Xenopus tropicalis: one gene and its partners. The protein of the gene in region 1 purifies or fractionates together with the protein of each later gene. This does not show direct contact. Links are inferred from orthologs where the notes say so. Each region holds a gene or a part of one and is shown in the gene's direction. Other genes may lie near its edges.

Evidence for each region. Proteins that work in one complex are often made in the same cells at the same time.
Region 2: the proteins of cdh5 (region 1) and jup purify together in Homo sapiens (affinity purification with western blotting; 3 studies listed by BioGRID and IntAct, with this or other methods). This does not show direct contact. The link is inferred for Xenopus tropicalis from reciprocal best matches to the Homo sapiens genes CDH5 and JUP.
Region 3: the proteins of cdh5 (region 1) and ctnna1 purify together in Homo sapiens (affinity purification with western blotting; 4 studies listed by BioGRID and IntAct, counting the BioPlex papers as one, with this or other methods). This does not show direct contact. The link is inferred for Xenopus tropicalis from reciprocal best matches to the Homo sapiens genes CDH5 and CTNNA1.

The regions. Positions count from the first base shown.
Region 1 is NC_030680.2:57,854,089-57,860,440, forward strand, and holds the end of cdh5 (cadherin-5), read left to right. Parts: intron 1-2,174; coding exon 2,175-2,665; 3' UTR 2,666-3,984; downstream 3,985-6,352. UniProt on the Homo sapiens protein: Cadherins are calcium-dependent cell adhesion proteins. They preferentially interact with themselves in a homophilic manner in connecting cells; cadherins may thus contribute to the sorting of heterogeneous cell types.
Region 2 is NC_030686.2:7,414,752-7,421,103, forward strand, and holds part of jup (junction plakoglobin), read left to right. Parts: intron 1-821; coding exon 822-941; intron 942-4,238; coding exon 4,239-4,389; intron 4,390-4,662; coding exon 4,663-4,784; intron 4,785-5,738; coding exon 5,739-5,778; intron 5,779-6,352. UniProt on the Homo sapiens protein: Common junctional plaque protein. The membrane-associated plaques are architectural elements in an important strategic position to influence the arrangement and function of both the cytoskeleton and the cells within the tissue.
Region 3 is NC_030679.2:19,993,105-19,999,456, forward strand, and holds part of ctnna1 (catenin alpha-1), read left to right. Parts: intron 1-4,800; 5' UTR 4,801-4,802; coding exon 4,803-4,904; intron 4,905-5,882; coding exon 5,883-6,078; intron 6,079-6,352. UniProt on the Homo sapiens protein: Associates with the cytoplasmic domain of a variety of cadherins. The association of catenins to cadherins produces a complex which is linked to the actin filament network, and which seems to be of primary importance for cadherins cell-adhesion properties.

The DNA.
Region 1 (6,352 bases):
CGTTTTTAAAATATTCCTTCTTTGGTTTAACACACCAAGTCAGGATTTCAAAATTAAGCAACCTCAAACACAGCTAGTGGATGTGGAAATACATAAAAATGGCTAAGAACATGGATGCATTCAGGCACATTTATAGACGGTCCATACTTTAGTGTAAAATATTTTACAGTTCTTTTGGTTTGTGCAGTGGTAGAGCATGATTCATAAATAGACATCACGGTAGGGGAGACATGACATGATCAACATGCACCTCTGGCTTGTGCCTTATATACAAAGTGAATGACTAGGCTATGTACTACAAGAAGCACTGAAAATGCCACTTACCGTATATACTCGAGTATAAGCCGAGTTTTTGAGCACTAATAATGTGCTCAAAAAGGCACCCTCGGCTAATACTCGAGTATATACGGTAGTTACGTTCTCTCGGCCGTGCACTCGCTCACACCGCCCGCCCCTGGACATATGTTTGCACTCGCACCCCCCCCCTTCCCGTGGACGTATGTTTGTGCTCGCTCACAGCCAACCCCCACCGGGGACGTTCGGTTACTGTGGAGGAAGCATGGCCATCCAGCATCATCTATACCAGAGGACCACCAACTTTGTTAATCAATGAATCACATACAAAACATTTTACTCGCAGCCAACCCCCAACCCCACCCGGGACGTTCGGTTACTGCGGCATCATCCGGCATCGCCAGACAGTCAATAGCGCATAGCGAATGCATGCACGCATCCAGCACCGGGCATCCATCACTCGCACGTGGCGTGTGTGCGCGGCGGATGCCCGGTGCTGGATGCGTCCGCGCCCAATGGCTGGAAAGGTGCTGGATCACTGAAATAGAGTAAGTTAACTGAGTACTTAACAGCAAGACTTGGGGGAATTCTTCAACAGCACACTGTTGCAGTGAGAGGTGGACAGAACCCAGACACGCATTTGTAAGGGTCATCCCACTGCCTCCTTTTCTCCACAACCTCTACTCCACAGCAGAGCGTTTACTACTCTTCTTCTCTATGGGGTGACAGACAATTTGACTGAAGGGCCGGGTTTGGCAGCTTAAAGCAAGGGTAAAGCAAGTGAGTGCATAATAACACAAGGTTATTTATTACTTACAGTTGCTATGCCAACAGCCAATTAATCAGGAGGAGCAGTGATGTTCTATGGAATTGCCTGTCCAAATCCAACCATAGAATTGGGCAACTCCAAAAGCACTTCTGTCTGTTTACCCTTATTACATTAAACAACTACATCTAAAATTCTTTTCTCACTAGTAACTGTCACTGAGTATAGGATAACGTGTGCACTGCTTTCCAATTTTTTCCCCCTTCTTCAAGTGCTAAAAACAGACACTGATCTAAAGTCTTTGCATTACCAGGGCTAATTAAATACAATAATGTTGCACAAACTGAGGTGGCTTACCACAAGCCAGTTTTCTTATGGCCGGTCATTTTGAGTGTTTGAGAGACTGTATATACTGTATGTTGTTTTGCCAAACTCAAGGGTGGTTCTGGATGCTTCTCAGCTGGCCGAAATACACAGGTGGAGAAAATGCCCAATTTATTTATCTATTTTATTAATATATTATTTTTTCATCTGCAATGTTTTCTCTATCTTCCATGATGATGATAGCGTTTTGTGCAGGTGTGTTAAAAGAAATGGATGCCTAGGCTTATACTCGAGTCAATAAGTTTTTCCAGTTTTCTTAGGTAAAATTAGGTACCTCGGCTTATATTCGGATCGGCTTATACTCGAGTATATACGGTAGCTAAGGTGAGTCAACAGTAATAAGATTCCCAGATGGGAACAGCAGGCCAGCTAGTTACCAGTCCAGTCATTTTCGACCCCATGAGCTCCTAGCCCAACATAATCACTATAAGTGCCAACAAGCTTATTTACCTGATCATTTGGTATTAGAGCTAACCTAACAGAATTTAAAGCAATCTGAGCAACTTTGCCCTTATGTATGGCCATTCTACACACAATCAGGCCCCAGCCTGTACAAGCAGGCAAAGACATACTTGGCCATATAAGGCCAGCTTAATTATAATTTAACGTTATGCAATAAGGTATTGTTTTAAAGCACTACACAACAGTATAGTGCAAATAAATAACATTTTGATTACTAAATAAATCTAGTTAACCAATTGCTTTCTTTTTTAATCTTTATTACCAATAGTTGTCACAATATTGGCAGTTCTAAGGAGGATGCAGAAGAAAAATACCAACATCTTAGGGAAAAACACAGCAGAGATTCATGAGCAACTGGTCACCTATGATGAGGAAGGCGGTGGAGAAATGGACACAAACAGTTATGACGTATCTGTATTGAATTCTGTGCGCAGAAATGTTCAAAGGCCAAGGCAAGAAATGGAGGCAAGTCCCTATCTGTACGCCCATGTCCAAAAACCAACAAGAAATGGAGACATGTCTTTCATGATTGAAGTGAAGAAGGATGAAGCAGACAATGATGGGGAAGGATTACCATATGACACCCTTCACATATTTGGGTACGAAGAGTCAGAATCTATTGTGGAGTCACTCAGCTCTATAGAATCTGGGTCTTCAGAATCAGATATAGACTATGATGTATTAAATAACTGGGGCCCTAGATTTAAGATGCTAGCTGATCTTTACGGTCTGGAACCAATTGAAGACTTTCCTTATTAGTGCAGTACTAGGAAACAGTAAAATCTTAGATCATTTTCAATCTAGTGCCTAAATCAACATTCCAATTTACTTGGCAGTAGAGGAGTGACTGGACAGGGGTGGTTCTGGGGCTGTTGCTGCATTGGATGTCACACCCCCTTAACTCTTTGGCACTGGAGCAGGTCAAGGGGTTACCAAATAGCTGCACTTGTAAGAGCCCATTTTCCATTTTAAAAAAATGGAAATTTGGCTCTTAAAGTTACTAGAGGTTGCTTTTTGCCACCCCTGGTAACTGACCACTCACTGCCACCTGCTTCATGGCAGGATGAGCCATGTAACTGGAAATTACTGGAAAATCTTCCATATTCCCTTTTAAACTGTGCCTCAGTCAAGTCCCTCTTTTTTCTTCCCCCCTGCAACTTATGGGTCTGTTGTCACATTATTGCACATCAGCCTGTCCCCCGTTTTGTTTTTATTTTGTATTTGATTAAAAAGACATGAGCATGCCCTGAGAAAGTTTGAGACCAAAACTAAATTACCCGAATAAGAAGGGAATAAATAACTAATCACCTCCATGAATCAAATTAAGCAGAATTTATAGTTAATGTTTTTACATGGCTTTCAGATAAATCAGTCGGCTGGTAGTGCTATTCATAACCCGCTGAAGAGAAATGTCTGCCAGTGAAGGTGTTAAGCGTCATTAATCTCTATCCACCTTTAAAAAACACTGAATAAAAATAATTGTAATAATCTTTTTGCATGTAAATGGCTGTCACAAATTTTCTCACTTGCTTTAAGCAATTTTTCATTTTAGGACTACTATTAACACTATATATTAATCTGTCCTTCCTCAGGGATACATTTGTAAATAATTACTTGAAATTAGATTCTTCTAATCAGTTGGCCCTGACATTTAATTGGTGCTGTAAGAATAAGACACACCAGCTTAATGTAATTGCATCCTTTCTGGGTAACATTGAATTAGAAGTGCTAGGTTTTACATGGTGTGAATAAAATATTTTCTCATTTTCAGATTCATTGGCACAAATAACATCATCATTTGTAATATTTCTCACTAACAGTAACTCATGTTTTCTTTTTTTTTTTTTACAAACATGAATTTAGCATTAGTAGTATTTTTGTGTTGTCTGTAATTTGTACTGTCCCCATTTGGCTTTTGTTGTGGGTTTTTGTATGATGTATGATGCCTATTTGCATTTGTACAGGGCACTTGGGTCTGTATACAAATTTGTATTAAAATGAAAAAAAAAACACAACCATTGAATTTTTTTTATATTCATTTTAAAATGTAGTAATAAACTACTGAGACATGAAACAAAGAGTTTGTCTGATTTGATTTTTAAGTCCTAATACACCCTGTTTACTTTTTTCTCTTCTAAGAAACATATGGGCATGAGTCCTTATTTTTCTGCATGAATGGATTCAAGAACTTAAGTTGCCATATGGCCTCTTCTAATGAATACCTCTAGTGACAAAAAGATGGTACAGTACATTCATTTATTAAACAAATACATTTACTAAGTGTCTCTATAATATACAGTATGAATATCCCTGTTGTACTCAAGGAGAGAAGCCATAAACAAATACTATTAGTTTCCAAAATGACAAGTATGGATCTTCACAGGAAGGCCGGTGAGGTTGTGGAATACCCTGGTGGATTAAGTTGTGATGGCAGATTCTATTAATGCCTTTAAGACTTTAAGGCTTGGATGATTTCTTGGACAAGTGTGTGTGTTGTTACACTTTCTTTATTAACACATTGTATATATATATATATACTGTATATATACTGTACGTATAAGTTGTATATAAATAAAGATATATATACAAGAATTTCAACCTCTTCAAATGACCGTTAACATAATATTACTATAACTGCTTAGTATAATGTTCCTTTTAAAGGAAAAAAAGAAAAAAGCAGAGTATACACTAATACAGGGGTCCCCAACCTTTCTTACTTGTGAGCCACAGTCAAATGTAAAAAGACTTGGAGAGCAACACAAGCATCATAAAAGTTCATGGAGGTGCCAAATAAGGGCTAAGATTAGCTATTAGGTAGCCTCTATGCACACTATCAGCTTACAGGGGGCTTTATTTGGTAATAAATATTGTTTTTATTCAACCAAAACTTGCTACAAAGTCAGAAATTAAAAAATAACTACCTGGTTTGGGGGCACTGAGAGCAACATCCAAGGGGGTGGGGAGCAACATGTTGCCCCAGAGCTACTGGTTGGGGATCACTGCACTAATACAATGTATCTGTCAATGGAGCTCATGCAATTGAAATCAGTTTTTGTATTCCCCATTTAGCACTGCTGGTTCAGACTCTTGAAACAATGTAGCAGGTGACAAAAAGTCAGGTAATTTTAAGGATTTGGATTTGGTTCGGGCAGACACATGGATTCAGCCGAATCCTGCTGAAAAACGCCAAATCTTGGTCGAATCCCAAAACAAATTCTGGATTCGGTGCATCCCTAATTCAAACCCATTTCATTTTATGAAACACATAGGCCCCTTGTCACTCATAAAAAAAAATATTTTATTTTGCTTTTTAGAGCCAGCAATAATGTGTCCCAATACAGTTTAACACCCAGTACCCCTATGATGGCTGCTTTCATACAATACATACATAACGTATATAATCAAACTAGTTGGATTTTCATGCTTTCATGGATTTTCAACTAATTATCAAATCAAAGACAGTTGTTAGTGTCCTGTGCTCTCATCTGCTCTGCTATAATCAGCATAAATTAAGTGACTGCAAAATTGTATTTATGATGGATCAGGGTGAATTTTCAAAACAGTCATGCTACATAAAGTTTACTTTTCTTTACTTGAAATGGAACTTCAAGATTTCGAGAGCATAATTTTCAGGTTGCAACCAAGCAAGGAAAAGCAATTAACAGATGGTGCTAATATACTGATTGGGGTTTAAATCAAATCTGACTGGCAGCCATCTGAGAAGAAATCATGTTACTATATTTTAATAATGTTATTCTCATACATCAACACTTGATGGCAGTGTGTTCCTCCATCAAACACTTTCCTCATACTCTTTTGTTCTTTAATTTATAATAGTTCCAAATGTCTAAGTAATGTTTCTTTGTGTTTCCTAACAGTTGTAGTAGTTCTGTACTGTATTTAAATGATTAAATATAACAACTGTCTGGCTTTAAGGAGTGTTTTAAAAATGGTGGCATGTAGCATAAGAATCCTTCAGACCTGCAACACTGTATAATGATAGAGAGACACCATGTTCATGTGTTTGAGAAATGTACCCTGATAAAAACAATATGTTTCTGTATAGTGATGGGGTGTATCAATGCAATATTAAGAAACAGAAAGCTTTAGTGTTTGCAAATAGGAAAGACAAACAAGCACCAGCTAAGACATTAGCTGTTATGGCTACTGATTGGAGTGCTAGCACTTGGTTGGAGTGCTAATGTAACACTGAATCATATATTTTGAATCAAAAATCACTATCTATACTGATATTTTTTGTGTACAATATACAACATTAAATGCTATAAATTATAATGTGTTAGCATTTGTAAAGCCTTTCAGGGGAAACACCAAGTGAAGTGGCTCCAATTTACACCAAAATTAGGCCACATTTTGAAGATAAAAAAAAAACACTGAACTGTCAAATAAAAATATATCGGTCAAAGGTTGAGGGACATGCAGCAA
Region 2 (6,352 bases), on another chromosome or scaffold:
TCCGAAACGTCCCTGATGTATCCCTATTAATGTAGAGGCTTTTGCTTAAAAAGGGAGTTTTCTGGATATGCACACAGCTCAGGTAGATAATTATAGGGATGCACCAAATACACTGTTTTGGGATTCGGCCGAACGCGGAGTCCTTTGTGAAAGACTTGGCCAAATACTGAACCAAATCCTAATTTGCGTTTGCAAATTATTACAAGGAAGGACTAAAGAGAACTGTGTGCTCGGTGTTCAACTTCCGTATTTACATGGCTAAAAGTCATAGTTTTAAAGATTTGGTTTTGGCTAGAGGCATGGATTCAGCTGAATCTGAATCCTGCTAAAAAAGGCCGAATCCTGGATTCGGTGCTTTCCTAGATAAATAAGCAGCAAAGAGAGACGTATCGGCTTCCCCATCTACTTACTGATCAGATTGTGCCCCTGTGCATAAATCCAAATATTGTGGAAAACATAAAACCTGATTTTAATGTGTATAACTACAGTAAAATATGAAGCCAACATCATTTTCTACTTACCTACAGAAGACAAAAAAAAAGGGCAAGAAAGATTATTTCTTTACATAAAACGATTGTGGCCCAAGTAATTGCTTAGTATTTCTTAGCTGGGTCTTAAAGTATCCACAACCCTTAAGATGTGCCATTTATTAATTCATCTCTAGGACTGAACTGCTACCGGCCAACAGGTTATCAATTTCCCTGTGGATCTGACATTTACTAGATGGCATTCTCTCTGACATATGGTGTCTATGACATAAATGTTCTCAGAATAGAGTTTGTTTTTGAATTGTCTAGAATACTGATTTTCCTATTCTGTAGGATGGAGTGAAGATGGAAGAGATTGTGGAAGGTTGCACTGGGGCTCTGCATATTCTTGCCAGGGATCCTGTGAACCGTATGGACATCTACAAGCTAAACACCATCCCGCTGTTTGTACAGGTGAGTTCTGGTGCATATAGACAATGGCTCATTGCTAAAAAAAAACCACACAGAGCATGGACACTGCACCTGGTGAGGGAGAAGCTATTTGGTGTAAGTACTGTCACATTTTGCAACGACAACTCGCCACTTGTGTGCTATGGTCCTTAAGCAGATGTCTACAGACTCTTAGGCTAAACGCAAGCCAAGAATCAGTCCCTACACTGGCATTAGCCTTTCTCTGCACCTGGAGCCATTGTGTTGGCCTGGGTTCAGGCACGCAGAGTGGATTTTGGCACAGAAGCACGTGAGTATGCTCTCACACGGGCCAATGCAATTGCTCCAGGTGCCGGCACAGGGAAAGGCTGATGCCAGCGTAGGAGTTTATCCTCACCCTGCATTTATCTGCTGCCTTAGAATCAGCCCTGTGTGGCATACATTAGCAGTACAGAACTTTCTCTAAAACTCCAGCCTTATGGTTCTTCTCTAAAGGAGAAGGAAAGGTAAAGGTATCAGTGGTAGTTGTCTAGACACTCCCTCTTTTATTCTAGTTGTGTATCTGTTACCCTAGGCTGGCGCTGCTCTTCTTTAAAAAAAAAGCACCAACCTTGGGTACTGTTAAATGAGCACCACCGTGTTCTTCTGGTCTTTCAGGTGAGACCCCCTTTGGGCTTGGGCATACATTAGCAGTACAGAACTTTCTCCAGAACTACACATTTCCCATGCTCCCAACTATAAGTCACGTAGGGGACACCTGGGAGGAAGAAAGATTTATATATTTATTTATTTCTCCCTGTTTAAACATTTGGTCTCCCTCCCGTAGTTTATAGCAGTGTATTAATAATAATATAAGGGAGGGTAGTATAGAAGAACTGACCTTCAAAGTTCATTCCAGTTTGGGAAGGGGGACTGCCCCAGAATCTGGAAACCACTGCCTTAAGCTTTTGTATGGTAAATGATCACCTTTATTTTAGTCAGAGCTCTTGCTGTGATCCTGCTTGTGCTCGGCAAATAAAGGGTTAAAGTCATGCTGGCTGTAGAAGGAATGACATTACCTGCTCTTTGTTTGTTTGTTTGTTAATTAATAAATCATAAAATAGATTAGACCTAGCTAAAATACACACAGTGTCATGTGACAAATGAAAGTTCTTCACCATGAACAGAACTTTATAACTGAATTCTTTCTCCTAAACACACAAACAAGGGATACAATGCTGTAAGGGAAGCCAGTTTCCTTTATAGGCTTTTCCCCTTCACTTCCTGCTCTGCAGAACATGAGCTTTTTCCTGACCCGCAATTGTTTGTTCTATTGGAAAATGTAGCCGGCCATTCAAATTTAATGATTCCAGTGTGAAACAAGAATGTTAAATTTCTTATTTCTTGAGCTCCATAAAGCAATTTTTGCCTAAATATGAAGATTACAAATTACCCTTCATCATGAAGGTTTAGGTACTTAAAGGAAAACTATACCCCCCAAAACTAATACTTCACCAACAGGTAGTTTCTATCTATCTATCTATCTATCTATCTATCTATCTATCTATCTATCTATTGTCTGTCTGTCTGTCTATATTATATAATATCATCTACCTATCATCTATCTAAAATATATATTGTAATATAATGTGTGTGTGTGAATACTATACTTATACTGAGGATCACAGGCTTTGGCCCAATTTCTGTGGGATTTTGCATTATATCATAGGGGACTTGTGATCTCTGGAAATAACCAGTAGATATGTGATGTATAACAAAAATGATCTGTATAAGCAGAGGCTTATATATCCTGGAAAGAGTTAATATAAAGGAGGATGTGTATTCCTAATGGCGCAGAACCAAGCCGTTGGCGCTGTAGCGTTCCTACCTGCTTTCAGAGTTCTGCTGACTCGTCAGATTTGGATCTCAGTCCCACAGTAATGGCTTTAGCTTGATGTGAGTTCCACATACCTTAACCCCCAGGGCCACGACCCTTTCTGTTAGCCAAGGTGCAAGCCTAATGGGCTCCTCTGCTTCCAGTGCAACTAGAGGTCATTTATATGCTCGGCATTCCCAGCATTCCCAGTGTGCTCATGTAATGGGAGCCTTTAGGGGGATGCTGTCTCTCATTAATTAGTCATCAGGGCAGCTAATTGGCTCCATTAACTCACTTGATATCAGTAGCATAATGTATTTTAGCTCTTGTGTTTGAAATCAATCTTGGACATCGTCATTTTAATATATGCCTTACTTTGAATTGTGGGTATTGTTTCCTGGCTCTGTTTGTAAACCATTCCCTTCCTGAAAATTAGTTCCAAAACTTTGACAGGCGCCTGAGGTGGGGCTTAAAGCCTTGATTTGGGGGGCAAAACCTGAAGGCCAGTTGGGGACAGATTTGAGGAAAATATTTATTTGCTCTAAACAAAAAAATACTCATGGAAGTACAGCTTGGAGGTCAGTTAGAGTAATACAGGTATGCGACCCATTATCCAGAATCCTGGAACATACCCCGCAGCGCTGTACAATAAGTGGGTTCCATACATTGGACATACAGAGTAACATATAAAGCAATCAATAACCAATACAAGAGGTGAAGAGAGCCCTGCCCAAAAGAGCTTACAATCATTTTTAAAAATGTGAATTATTTGATTAAAATGGAGTCTATGGGAGACGGCCTTTCCGTAATTCGGAACTTTCTGGATAATGGGTTTCCGGATAAGGGGTCAGATTCCTGTACAGTAGTTCTGGTGCACGCCAGATATTTTTGACCACAAGAGAAGGGGAACAGGACACTCCAAAATATGCAAAAATAAACCACAATTTCAATTTTATTTTATGCATTTGAGGCACCTGCATAAAAATACCAATGGATGTGCCCCTGACAAAGGGTTGAAACACACTCTTACGCTTAATATGATACAAAATTGTTTATTTTATCATTTTTAGAAGTGCCGTGTTCCCCATTTACAGGTAACCCCCTTACAGCAATCCCCATTTATGGTGTGCCAGGCAAATACACATGTATAATTCCTAACTTCTAGATCCACTACTTCCTGTTAGTTATTTCCTGTCAGCTGATCTCTGAGGGAGCACACAGCCCAGCACAAAATGGTGGTTCAATGTGAAAGATGTAAAAGGGCAATACTTACTGATATATAATAATCCAGTTTGCTAAGATCTTTAATAGGCCACTTAATGTGATATAAACTATCTGTTTGTTAAGTATTCATTCTAGGGATACGATTATGTCAATTTCATATGGAATTACGACGTACTAATGTGATTTTAGTTGTAAGTCAGTAAGTCTGTGTATGTATAAAGTGTGTTTCCATTCTATTGCAGCTCCTGTATTCCCCTGTGGAGAATATTCAGAGAGTGGCCGCGGGCGTGCTGTGTGAGTTGGCTCAGGATAAAGAAGCGGCAGACACCATTGATGCAGAGGGAGCCTCAGCCCCACTCATGGAATTGCTGCACTCCCGCAATGAAGGCATAGGTGAGGGGGAAACACACACATATGAACATATGGAGGCTACTGTAATAACTGTTAATAAACTCTTAAGCTAAGCTCTGATGAGTCTGTTACGGATCAAAACCGTGTCCAGTTATGTACCAGCTGTGTGAACTTGGAACATTATTGCACCCAGTTCTGGTCTGAGGCATTCAACAGCCAACAGCTGGCCTGGATTGGAAGCACATACCATTATCGCATATGGCGTTGAGGTGGGGAAGAAATTCTGCTTTATTCACTATGCAATTTCTATTTTAGCCACATATGCTGCTGCTGTTCTATTCCGCATATCCGAGGACAAAAACGCAGATTATAGGAAGCGCGTGTCCGTGGAGCTCACTAATGCCATCTTCCGACAGGATCCTGCCGCCTGGGAAGCAGTAAGTACCTGGGATTTGGCATCACTATTTCTGCATTTGCTGGGGAAAAGGCTATAAAGTGCAGCTGGGCAAATATTTTGACCTATTTGTGCCTTAAAGGGAATCTAAACCTAAAAAATGAATTGATGTTACTTCATTACTTCATTTTCTGGCTTTAGTGGTTTCTATGATATTTGCGGTTTTAGACCTATAGCTTGTAGCTGTATGAGGCTTAAGGGGGTTATTCACCTTTGTGTTAACTTTTTTAGTATGACCGAGTGCAATATTCTCAGACACTTTGCATTTGGTCTTCATTTTTTATTTGTAGGTTTTTTTCAGCAACTCGCTAGTTTTGAGTTTCAGCAGCTAGGGTCAAAATTACCTTAGCAACCAGGGATTGATTTGAATGAGAGGCTGGTATATGAGTAGGTGAGGACCTGAATAGTAAAATAAGTTACTTTTTATAACAACAAAACTGGAGCCTCACAGCGCAATAGTTTTCTGGCTGCCGGGGTCAGTGACCCCCATTTGAAAGCTGCAAGGAGTTAGAAGGCAAATAATTAAAAAACGATTAAATAATCAATTAATAAATAACCAATTGAAAAGTTGCTTAGAATTATCCATTTTGTAACATACTGAAAGCTTAACGTTAATTGAGAATTGGCAGCCCTAGAGTTAACCGACCGGTGCATAGAAAGTTCAGAGAGAGCTGCTGAAAGCCTGGAAAATGTATGTAAACTGCTGAAGTGCGCATTTACATCCCCTTTATGCACACTGCATTTAACCCTTAGAGTTTGGCAGGGTTCAATAACGCAGAGAATGAAAGATTCTATACATCTGATCATTATTCCCAATGATAATTTGCCACCCACTTGCTGTGGGATCATCTCTTTCTTTGGCTTTTCATCAGCAGAATTGTGACTTCTTACCAATTTATTACTCACATTACATGCAAAATTGTGTTTTCATTTTCAGGCGCAGAGCATGATTCCTCTTAATGATCCTTATCCAGATGGTAAGTGAACTGAACATTGTTGTAGAACGGCAAAATACCATTTATGTTGTAAAATGCACATGCAGTTACTTACAATGGCATTTTACATTAAATTCATTGTGGGCAGAGCTGGATTAATACTAAATAGGGGACTAGGGGCGGTAATGCATTGGGGGCCCCCAGATCATCTTATCACAACTTTCCACAACGTGATTGGCAAAAAAATGTCTGTATGTGCATGAACTGCTTTCTGATTGGACGGGATCCAGGAGCGTTAACTTTGAACCTCCTGTCCAATTGGTAAGCAGTCCTACACAAAATGTGTAGGGCTTTTGGGCACCCCAGATATACTGGGTCAGATGTGTTTGAGCCCCTGAGTGAGGAAACAAAGCTTTAAGAAGAATAACACTATCTCTGTTAAAGGAGAACTAAAGCCTAACTAAAGCAGTAGGGCAGAAATGTTGTATATTCCCTTTAGCAGGGAAGATCTGTGCCCCCAAAGATGCCCCAGTAGCCCCCCCATATTCTTTTCTGCTGATTCCCAGCACATATTCTGTGCTGCTGTCACTTACCTGAGCTTAGGGACTCACCCACA
Region 3 (6,352 bases), on another chromosome or scaffold:
AGGCACACACTTATAGGGATAACAACCTGGGTGCAAATCAGATAAACAATGTAAATATATGTGTGTGTATATAGCATTCAAGTCAGAAAACTATGGTTTTTGATATTAAGTTACAACTGAAGGTAAATTAAAACTATTTCATGTTTGGTTTTTGTGCGCTTAATAAGTTTACCAGTCACAGATAATTTCTTTATATAATTGACTTCTGCTTATCTCCTCACTGGTAATCTGGTGTATCTACCTCACAAGAACAAAACATGTATTTTCAATTACAAAGCCATAGATTTTTTTTTTTTTTTTTTTTCATGGCAAAAAGTATATCCAGCAGAAGCCCTATTCATTATCTCTTTTTGAACAAGCTCGTATGTTGCCCTTTTTAAGGCTGATGTGGCATGGAGAGATTTAGTCGCCTGCGATAGATCTCTAATTAGTCTCTCCAAAATGCCTTTCCACTGGTAACAGTACGAATCACTAGTGGAAAGGCCAACGCATTGCTTTGGTTTTCCGAAGATGCCTCCGGAGGCAACTTTGCACAACTTCGGAAAACCGAAACGATTTATAGGCCTTTCCACCAGCAATTCATATTGTTGCCGGTGGAAAGGCATTTTGGAGATATTTGCTACCTGTGGCAGCAGAGATCAGTGTCGGACTGGCCCACCAGGATACCAGAAAAACTCCCAGTGGGCCCAGGTGTAAGTGGGCCCTCTTGCTCCTAACCATTTGGCCTGTTTCATGCTCATTCCCTATTTCTGAATGGGAAGAAAGAGGAGAAATAGAGGGAAGAATAGATGCTAGCATGTAAATAAAAGAGACTGGGAAAATAAAGAGGTTGGGTAAAGAAAGGAGGAAAAATAGTTTGGAAAGCGGGTCTAAGCTTTTCTGATGGGCCCCTGGGGTCCCAGTCCGACACTGGCAGAGATCTATTGCGGGCTACTAAATCTCTCCACAGGACATCAGCCTAAAGGTGTCCATACACTAGTAGATTCGCTCAGTTGCCAATTGAGCGGATCTTCTCCCAATATGCTCACCTAAAGGTGGGCGATATTGCACTAATTCAGCAACTGCGTACATAGGCGCCGCCAGATCGGGGACTGCATCAAGGAGCCGATGCTGTCCCCAATGCGACGGAAAATCAAACCTGCCCGATCAAAATCTGCCCAATTTTAGGTCAGATCTTGGTCTGGTAGGCCTGTCAGGGGTGCCCATGCATGGGCCGAAAAGCTGCTAAATCGATCTGAAGGACCTAAATCAGCAGCTAAAATCTGCCTGTGTATGGCCACCTTTATACTGCAACATGTAACAGTAAGCACTAAGTTGGCCATACACTTTTTAAGATACACTTCTTTGGCAAGGTCACCAGCTGAGAGGATCTTTGCCCAATTTGGTCACCCCTGCACCCCAGCCAAACTAGGGAGTTCCAATTGCTGGCATAGGGGCAAACAAGCGGGCCTGTGTGAAACTATTACCATTCTGATGTTTCCTGGTATCTGCATAGTAGAATTGTTATGAACAGAAGTTACAGAATGACTTGGTATAGTTACTTGGACAATGACTTGGTGACAACCTTAATGTGAATGATAGAAGACCCTGTTGCAAAAATTTAAGTAAAAGTAGATCACTGGAAAATCTTACTTCAAATAATAAAAATATGCTTAAAGGAGACATATCCTATAAAAATTATGAATGTACCAGTGAATTATACTCCTCTAGATATAGAAGGAATGTGCTTAAAAATGCTGTGTTTCTGACTGATTTATTGAGAAATTCCACAAAAACCCCACTAGCCCCGCCCATCTATTCCACTTCCTGCTGGCTGAATTCTCTGGATGAGCTGGGGAGCCGGCGGCACTGTAGGATAGGAACCAATCAGCAGCTAGGCTGACCTGATAGGGAACTGAAGCTGGTCTTTGCTTGTGTGAGTGCAGGGCTGTGATTGGCTCTCCCCCTCCTACTGTGCTTCTGGCAGGGACCGCTAGGACACGCCCACTCCATTTCACACTGGACGGAGAAATGATAGGATCTATAGGGAGCTCCAATAAAGGGGCCATTGTTACAGATAGGATTAATGTTTAGCACAAAGGGAAACCAGCACCGTATATTATTCATAATTGCCTACAAAATTAGCATTTTTCCAATTTATCCAATACGTCTCCTTTAATGTGGGGCCTTATTTTTCAGTATAATTTTGCAAAAAGTTGTGTACATCCTGACCAGTCCTCTAAAGCAGTATTCAGTTGTAAGATGCGTAATGGCTGGCTAGAAGCTGACAAGCTGCAGACAATACAATTCCTATACAGTATGTTGACGCAATGTTGTCAAATCAACCCTTTTTAGATATTTGAGAGGCAAGACTGCGTTCATTTCTCCAAACACATTATATCTATTTAAATAGAGGGTGGCACTGGTTGTAAGAGTTTAAAAACAAAACCTGTTGTGCTTCAGGTTTGCAAGGACCACATAACCAAGTCTAGCACCTATGTAAAACCCCTAGGTATATTTTCTACATTGTTACAGTGCATAGATGAGAAGTTACGAGATTCCACCATTCCAAAGCATCATAAGGCAGATGTGGTTTGAGTAAACTGATGGCAAATTGAAGCTCAGCCCCTTTGAAAACCAGGTGCATGTTTGTTGGAATTGTATTGCCTGAGGTACGGAAAGATCTGATTGGTCAGAGGTCTAGTTCTGTGTACTGTTGTAGGTGGGGACATGTTTTGTGAACAAAAAGTAGTTGTTGGCCTCCTAGATAAAAGGAGGTACTAGAGAAGATGATTTGTTTGGTTATGAATAAAGAAAAAGTCAAAATACAATGACAGCTCAATGAAAAGGCTATTATTGCAAATACATACCATCAACATATCTCATTAAATTCTCATTTCTATGTAATCAAGAATGTGAATTCAAATTATATATAAAATGTTAGAAAATCGCTTACTTCCTCGAATATAAATTGCCAGTACCTAAACTGATGATACTTCAAATCGCTTATTGCTCCGAATTGCTATGAGACCCTTTTTCGAGTGATTTTACAAAGAAAGCATTGTCATTCAAATCTATTGGAATCGCTGAAAGTAAAACCCACTGAGCACAAAGTCGCTGTGATTTCCCCATTGCCCTGAATGTCATTTCTAATTGTGGGTGGGGAATATGACACCTGGATTTGTGGGAAATAGAATCGCTCAAATAGAATCGCTCATACACCTTCAGATCCACTTGCTTGGTGATGTCCCCAAACGAGTGGATCTTCTACCGATATCCCCCGCCTACGGGTGGGCGATATCGGGAGAATCCAGGCTAATTTGATCGTTTGGACGAGTGACAGGGTTTTCAACTTGGCAAGATTGCCAACTGCTTGTTTTTGAGCAGCAATCAGTTGTGTGAAATTGAATTTGCTCCTTTTGAATTTGTTGTGTGAAATAATACAATGTGAAATGAAAATATGGAGTTAGGAAGCTTGGATCAAGTGCAAGGTACTGTATTTATTACTGTACTTATTACAGAGGAAGAAAATATTTAAAAATTAAAATTATATGCCTAAAATGTGCTGCTTGTAAGATGGTCTTCCCATAATTTGGTGCTTACTGGTTTCCTTTTTAAAGGAAATTTGCATATATATTTGAATGTGGTTCTTCCCATATTCTGTGTGTGTGCAAAATAACCAAGGAATCAATATAAAAACAACAGAATCTATTAAACTCTATTAAAATGTATTTGAGGATATTTTTGGCTCAGTTTCATAATTAAATCCTGTGAGTGTTCTTTTACATTCTTCTATATGGTTTATTTACCAGCACCCAGGCTATTGTTGCTGGATGTGCAATAGTGATGTGCGGGCTGGCCTGAAAGCCACAAGTTTGGGCCGACAGTCGCACAACATATTTGGGTCACAGGCGGGTTTGGGCCAAGCTCTTCCTGCCGCCCTCCACGCCCAATACCTAACTGTGCCCCTCTTCCGCAATTAAAGTTAGTCCCGTTTAAAACATTGCCAGCTAGTAACCTCAGTAGCTTAAAGGAACAGTAACACCAAAAAATTCAAGTGTATAAAAGAAATTCCAATATAATGTACTGCTGCTCTGCACTGGTACAACTGGGGCCTTTTCTCCTTTTTTTCCAGCTTGAATGTCTGCCCCCAGGGCTACACAGCAGCTTATTTATATAAACTATAGTAGAGTTACTGTAGCAAACATACAACTTTTCCCAGTGCAGGGCAACAGTACATTATATTTCATTTAGTTTAAAACTCTTTAATTTGTTGGTGTTACTGTTCCTTATACATTGTATAATACATTGTTTATAATTCTGTTTCTGAGAGAGAAATGAAAAGAGCCTCTTGTTTGGTGAGGTTGCCAAACTGCTATAGCCGATTTGGTCTATGCAGACAGTTGAGAGCACCTGATGTGTCTTTAGGATTTTTTGATTTTAAGTTGTATGTATGTTTAAATGTTTGTTTTATAAAACAAAAATGAACGTTCAAAAGCAGTCAAGATGAAATACATTCTAGCATGTTGTTCAAGTTAAGAGAAAAAAGAGGACCACTTTACTGGCATCACAGTATAACGGTCATATCCATTAATAATACAGGCCTGACAGGTTGGGAGAGCCACACTTTTGTCCAGTAGAAGTGTTGGATTAGCATCTAACCAAGGAGCCCATATAGTTTGAAATTTCAGCTAACAGCCTCTGGTAGAGGAACCATTTTATTAATAAGTGCTAGCCATTCTGCCAAGCATTCTACTTGAATTCAGTCTTTCCATGTCCTATCAACTGATGCAGAATTTTTTTTTTTTCCTTTCTCCCCAGACATGACGCTTAATACAGGAAACATAAATTTCAAATGGGATCCAAAAAGCTTGGAAATAAGAACACTAGCTGTTGAGAGACTTCTTGAGCCTTTAGTAACTCAGGTAAGTAAATTATCTTTTTTTTATATTAGACAGTTGTATGTTATCCTCTGTATTGTATTTGAGTACACTATGGAGGATAATATACCCCCTTATTATAATTCATAAGGCAGTTTAAACTGAAAAGGCGTTAAGTATGGGTTGGTGGAATTTCTGTAGATGGTACATTATCCTATACTGTGCTGGACCTGTTAACTTACCCAGAAGGGCTCAGAAGCTGGAGAGCACGGTGGAGACACCTCTCCTGAAGTTATTAGTCTAGGAAAGCAGTCTGTTAATGTGGACTGAATGTCTGGCTTCAGGCTACTTCCTCCTTCATGGCACCAAGGAAGAACTCTGGCCATGCATGTCTAGAATTATTATTTTGGCTGATATCAGTCATGCCTGACCATCTGGGCATATGTGGAAAGTCAGATGGATGTTCAAGCTGATAATCCTGCTGTACTCATAGATTGAGTTTTTCTGTTCTTGATGGAAACAACTTCAATGGTCGATCAAAAGGAAGTGAAGAGCTGCAGCTGTGATTTACTCCCTGCTGTTCAGTCATTTAATCAGTTGGTCTAAATGAAAGGTGCAATTAATCTGACTTTAGTCTTGTTACTTTCTATATTACCAGTTCTGCAGTGCTAATGTCATGGTTTTACAGCAGTGCTATGATTGCCAGTGTCAAGAGGGTTAACAGAATGACAAATTCTAAGCTTTTGCTATCAACAAATAGCAGAAGCATTAAAGGCAGAAATTGCAATTTTACAACAAAAGAAATGCATGCACAAATTCATATAAAGAACAAGTTATCACAGTTGTTTCAACAATACAGTCAATGAATAACATTCATTAATATGATCAATACTTCTTTACAACAAAATCTTACTGTGTATGGCCACCTTTACGTTAATTTTATCAGGGAATTTTTACTCCCAGGCACTAGGAGGCATATTAAATTTGATGTTTGCTCACAAATTGCTATTTATCTATATTAAGGTGACCACTTTGGTGAATAGTAGCAATAAAGGACCCTCCAATAAGAAGAAAGGACGTTCAAAGAAAGCTCATGTTTTGGCTGCATCAGTGGAGCAAGCAACCCAAAATTTTTTAGATAAAGGAGACAAAATAGCAAAAGAGAGCCAGTTTCTTAAAGAGGAACTCATTGCAGCAGTTGAAGATGTTCGGAAACAGGGTAAGTGTCCCTGTATTTTATAAATGGCATAGTTAATACTAAATCCTGTATGGTAAAAGTTCTTCCTGTCCCTTTTCCTTTATCCCCCAGAAAAAAACAAAAATGTTTGCGTGTCGAGTTGTTAACTGTGGCTTTACCCTGTATTCCCTTTCACATGGCCAGTTGTTCTCTCTAAGCAGCTGTTGTCATTGGACCCGCTACCCCCCTAATCTTGTGGCTTGGAAAATTGTTTTGGGATAAAAAGGCCGGGTTGCCAGACACTGTCACATTCTAG